Linked DNA regions of Kluyveromyces lactis. The protein of the gene in region 1 purifies or fractionates together with the protein of each later gene. This does not show direct contact. Links are inferred from orthologs where the notes say so. Each region holds a gene or a part of one and is shown on either strand. Other genes may lie near its edges.

Evidence for each region.
Region 2: the proteins of KTI12 (region 1) and IKI1 purify together in Saccharomyces cerevisiae (affinity purification with western blotting; 5 studies listed by BioGRID). This does not show direct contact. The link is inferred for Kluyveromyces lactis from reciprocal best matches to the Saccharomyces cerevisiae genes KTI12 and IKI1.

What each region holds. Positions count from the first base shown.
Region 1 is NC_006042.1:271,754-274,790, forward strand, and holds KTI12 (Kti12p), read left to right. Parts: upstream 1-1,439; coding exon 1,440-2,459; downstream 2,460-3,037. Other genes in the region: putative GTPase MTG1, read right to left, coding at 84-1,241; ATP25 (Atp25p), read right to left, coding at 2,588-3,037. UniProt on the Saccharomyces cerevisiae protein: Elongator complex-associated factor that is not a structural subunit but rather transiently contacts the complex.
Region 2 is NC_006037.1:831,030-834,031, forward strand, and holds IKI1 (Elongator subunit IKI1), read left to right. Parts: upstream 1-1,400; coding exon 1,401-2,288; downstream 2,289-3,002. Other genes in the region: ubiquitin-binding TORC1 subunit KOG1, read right to left, coding at 1-755; GPI-anchor transamidase subunit GPI16, read right to left, coding at 2,426-3,002. UniProt on the Saccharomyces cerevisiae protein: Component of the elongator complex which is required for multiple tRNA modifications, including mcm5U (5-methoxycarbonylmethyl uridine), mcm5s2U (5-methoxycarbonylmethyl-2-thiouridine), and ncm5U (5-carbamoylmethyl uridine).

The DNA.
Region 1 (3,037 bases):
TTGGAAAACTAGTCTATACTTTTCTATTATTTATTTACATTGTTTATAATTAACCAAGAACTGACTACTTCTTAGGTATTCTCTCAGAAAAGCGTATTTGCCTTAGATAAATGCTTTTCTCTTTTGTTGAGTAAGGGTTGGGATAAAACATCCCAACCTTTGAGAATTTCAAGTTCTTCTTGCATAGTTTTCTTGTATTGAAAGTTTTCCAAAATGGGTTCCAACTCGAATAGAGCTGGAGTAGCTTTAGAGGACTTCTTAGAACCAGATCTTAACCCAGATTTTAAAACTCTACCTTGTCTCCAAGAATCTGTCCAATAGATGGCTGCAGCATTCTCGTTTGTCATTCCTACTTGCTTTTTGAGGCCACTCAACAAAATGTCAATGTTGTTAGTAGGGGTTGTAGTGTAGTGTGTGTAGAATTGATATTTTCCCTGTAGGTTCAAAAGATACAACAGAAAATCTGCTTGAATCACAGGGTCCACTAGATTGTTTTTAACGCACCCACATAAACTGAGTGATAGCATTCTTTGCTTGCTCATTGCTTTGGCAGGTAAAGATATTCCAGGCGTATCATATAGAAACAACCCTCCTTTATAATCACTGATTCTGATACATTCACTAGTGTTCCTGGTGACACCTGCCTGATCACCTGTCTTCGCAACCTTCTTGGGTTTGCTTCCATCCGAATGATCCAAGCCTGCATATCCAGTAAATCTTAAACTATTAACGAGTGTTGATTTCCCAACATTAGGCATGCCGCCAATTAGCATTCTATAACCCAGTGGTAGTCCCACAGTCTTCTTCCCCGGATCATTTTTCTGGAGAAACTTATCATACTTCCATTTTAATATATGTAAGAGATCTTTAGCGCCCTTTTTGCTTCTTCCATCTATCATGATATATTGTTCGTCCATTTCCTTATGCCATTTATTTAATGATGCAATAATAGCAGGATCGCATTGATCAGTTTTGGTGTAAACTACTAGTCTGTCAACTTTCTTTTCTAAGGACAAGTAATCGAATATGAGGTTCCTAGTGGCTATTGGAGCCCGGCTGTCTCGAAGTTCAACTAGAAGATTAAGCTGAGGAAGGAGATTTTGAGCTCTTTGTATAGCTTTCTTTTGATGTCCTTTGAAGTCACTTGTTGGTATATTGAAATCTGGGAATACCATTCTTGGTACAAATGTAGACTGCAGCCGTCTACCTGAGTATTTGACACATTTTACCGAAACGTTCATATCTTCCAATACAGTAAGTTTGTGAACAACTATTACAGTTAATGGAGTTGTCGTTAATGTTTATGACAAAGAAGTAATCAGTAGTTTGTCAACTTTCTTTTGGTGAATCATGATAGGTGATCATTAAAGCTTCTTTCAACATGAGAATTACTTTTTACTGCGTTCAGAACAAGAACTTTGAAAATACTCGATGAGCTCATGAAAAGAGGAAAAACTCAATCATTGTTTCAGACTTTGCAGCAACGTCTAGTGAACTTAGAACCTCTTGACTGTACAGCAATGCCCTTGGTTTTACTAACTGGTTTTCCGAGTAGCGGTAAAACAACTGTGGCCAAGAAACTCGTCACGTTACTACAGGAAACTATCGATTCCAACGATAAACTGTCAAACTATTCTGTTGTATACCATTCAGATGAAACCTTAAACATATCTCACGATGATTATATTGGGTCAAATGAAGAAAGAAGGGCAAGATCTAAGATTATGTCTGTGGTGAAGAGAGATCTTTCTCGTCAGAAAGTCGTCATTGTTGATTCGTTGAATTACATAAAAGGATTCCGGTATCAATTGCACTGTGAAGTGAAAAACGTGATGACAACGTATTGTTTGATCCACACGGTATGCCCAATGAGCAACTTGGTTGAATGGAATGAGAAAGAGACTGATTTGCATAAACCTTGGGAAAGCAATTTTTTGAATGCTCTTATTCAAAGGTATGAAGAACCAAACCCTCAAACAAGGTGGGATTCTCCATTATTCACTATATTGACGTCTCAAGATGACATCAGTACCCTATACACAGATATTAGTAAGGCAATATTCCCAACCGTGTTCAAACCGGCAACGAATGATAGAGATACTGAGAAGATCCTGCAACAATTAAAGCCAAACAATGCCACGATATTGAAGGCTGCCTCTCACACTAACTCTTTGCAAATACTTGACTCCGAGGCCAGTAGTGTCATAAAGATTATAATGAAATATATGCAGCAAAATGTGGTCAGTGGTGGCACTTCAAGAATAATTCTTACTCCTGAGAATACTGATTTAAACGATCCAAACTGTCTTTATGTCGATCTCTCACTACAAAATTGCTCCATGCCTCAATTACAAAGAATAAAACGTCAATTTGTTGCAATGAATAGATTAAGAAACTTAGAGCAAGATAGAGTAAAACCGTTATTCGTTGAATATTTGAACAAACATTTGAATGTCTGAATTCTTCAACTCATGGCAACACTTAAAGCGCTTTGATCGACATAATCTTTCACATGAACACTTATCTCACATTAAAATAATGAAGGAAATTTCCTTCCAGAATAATATCATATCTGTCTATAAACTATTTACAGCTTTAGTAGCTTCTTAATATTGGTATGACTACCATCCACCCGGTCAAGTAACTTCGATAGTGACGCTTTTAAGTCATCACTTATCACCAATTTACTTCTATGAATCCATAACAAATGACCATTATCCACTATATCTGATAAAATGACTTTGTCATTCTTGTTTAATAATGATTTTATGAAGAAATCCCATACGTTACTATCGACAGCACTCTCACACAAGCATTGTTTCCAAAATTTAAACAAAGTCGGCCAGTTTTCACTTTCTACCAAAGTCGTTATTATTTCTTTTATCACGTCATTTGTTAATGATCTTACCTCAAATTCATTTGTGATGAGATTGACATACTCGTAAAGTGAGTTAAGGTTAGTGTTTTCGGTATGCATTGACTTAACTAAAAGTTTGATGACCCTGGGATCATGGACAACCTTAGGATCACTATATTG
Region 2 (3,002 bases), on another chromosome or scaffold:
GGTGATGCCATATCATGATTGCCTTCTCTATCGTCTCTCAATCTCTTTTGAACAAACTTTTTAAAGTTGGATACAATGTTACCAGCACTATTGCAATCCCAGACATATATACAAGGGGCTCCTAGCCAAGTTTGTAAATCATATAATGAAACCGGGATATACTGAGTATATCCACGGTTGAAAACCCAGATTTCTCCAGATGGTGTTGGTTGTGGTACACCATGACCGTTATAATGGAACAGAATTCTTTCGTCTTTCGAAGCCCTTCTCAATGAATTACAGAAGCGTTTCACATCTTCCACACAGGGATCTAAGCTCTGTTTATAACGAGTACGTAGTGATAGCGTCTCGTATTGACTCTGTAAGTTCTTTCCTATTTGTTCAATAGCTTTCTTAGAATCCTGAAATGCAAGGGGATCAACCCATGATTCAAGTCTTGCACATGGCTGAGTCTTAGTCACATCAGGAGGATCCACTCCCAAATTCAAACATAGTAATAATGCTGCTGCAACTGTCTTCTGCCTGTCCTTAACTATTTTCCAATCAGGAATTGGCTGGTAATATCCATCCTTATCCTCTTGCTTCACTTCCTCAGGAACTGGATTCCCATTGGTTCGATGCCTCTTATCATCGTAATAAAATATAAAATTGCTAGCATGCGCCTCCAAGAGTTTCTCACTTGAATACTGCTCTTCAAACCCATGTCTAGTCTCAGTATTAAGCCGTGTCAAAGGCTGTGGGCCGTAAACAACCATTGCTTCAGGATTGGTTCTATTCACAACTGGTTCTGATAAAAGTGGCAGTACCGGTCGATTCTGACAAAATTTAAACGCAGAAAATCGTACAAATAGTAATTACCTAACTGCTAGTCAATGAAGACTCGCTAAATTGACTTCAAACCCACTAAATGCTCTTCAAAAACCTTATCTTTCCAATCATTCCACACTTACTGACCAGTATCTGTATATGAGCTTACAGTATTTTTACGCAAACACTTTGAGTATATTGTTACCCGAATATTTTATATCAGGGTAACGTTGGGAAGATATCCAATAAAGTTATATCAACCACTTCAATACCCCCTCGATTGTAACCCAGATATTTAATAACCACAGTTTATCTAACTTTTACTGGTTTGCGCTTTCAAGTGCACTAAATGGGACCGTTATTGGATACTTTTATGTGTTTTTATTTTGATCTACGTTATAAATATGCAATTTCACATACCAAATGCTTGGTGAAATATTCACTTTGACAGGCGATGAGATGAGATAAGATCAAGGTTCATGCGGGGAACTAGTACTTATGAGTAGCCTGTTTTCATCTATTTCGACTGTTACAGCATTCTTTCAGGGTATCTGATCTATCACGAATATACTGCGTGCTCTTTATTCTCTGAGATGGCTTCTACTAATAATAATCCCAAAGTTCTATTGAAGAGGACGTTCTCACTGAAGGAACAATCTTCGCTAATACTATGTACCGATACGATGGCACAAAGCAGCCGATTTGTGGTTGAGGAATTCCTAGATAACATACCAGACGAAATGCCGATCGTTTTCGTATCATTTGAGACTCCAAATAGACCGAAATATGCACGCCAATTCATAGATGCGTCGGGGAAAACCACCCAGCAACTAGTTGCAGCATTACAACCATACCTACCGCAGCCACAGGAACAAGCTCCTAAGATGCATTTAGTGATCTTTGATACATTCAATTATATCGGTTCTGAAAGCTTGACACAATTCATATCTACCATTGCATCGCCATTTGTGACAATATTGGCTACATATCATCAGTCGATACCAGCCTGGCGTCCAGCAGAACTCCAGAACTATCCAACTGCGATCCAACTCTTGCAATTTATTGCTAATACGGTTATAGAAGTTACTCCGAAGACTTCCATAGACGAGGACGATTTGGATGCAGATTTAAGTAGATTTGTGATACCCAAGAACTTGAACAATCCCACATATTATATCACTCTAACGAACAAGCGAAAGTCCGGTAGGGCTATCAAGAATAAGTTCTTAATCAATTCGAAAACACATGATTATGAATATGTGATAGAGAAACAAGAACCAGTAACGGACGAAAGTCCAGAAATGTTTGAGGGTTTAACAACATTCAACTTGAACACTTCGGAGAAACAGAAGCTGGCAAAAGACCAAGTGGAATTGCCATATCTTGAAGCTCAATCTTTCAACAGTGGTGGTGCAATTGTGTATGAGTTTGAAAAGGATGATGATTATGACGAAGAAGACCCGTACGAAGATCCGTTCTGATCGCTAGAGTCTCGGGTTATTCTAGTTTCATTTAATTCTTTCTCGTGGTTGAGATTATCACAATTACATAGGAATTGTCTGTCTACTCTATATGTTCTATGTACTCATATAAGTGTACGCTTTGACAATCTGAAATGCTATTCATATTTAGCGCTTTTGATAATCTTGTTTTTATTTCCCTGTAGCATGTTTACAATCTTTGCTTTGACGCGCAACAGCTTTGCTCTAGGACCTGTCGATGCAAGTATCTTATCAGCTTCTTCCAGGGTTATCAGTTGCTTAGAAATTAGGTTGAATAGAGTACCAAAAGCTAGACCCATGACAGTAGATGTCAGAATGATGACATTGTAAGGCATACTGAAATCAGGAGTGGATAGAGATAAGAGTAAGGAGGATGTTCTGGCTTCATAACGTTCTGGTGTAAGTACTGCAGCAACAGCAGCTTCGATCTCAAAACCATGGTTGGCATCAGGGGGATATTCTGCATATTTAAGCAAGGATTTATCGAACTGGAATGATATAGCGAATGCAGTGTTAGGCGGGATAATCATTGCCCTTTCCAAATGTGTCGGTCTCTCACGATCTCTTGCCGGGGAATAGAAGGTAGATTTTACTACTGAATCTAGAGTTAGTTCAGGATCATCACTCTCTATGGCTAAGGAGGACAAGTATACTCCCATGAACCAAGGCAAGGATTCAAAATAAACTAATTCC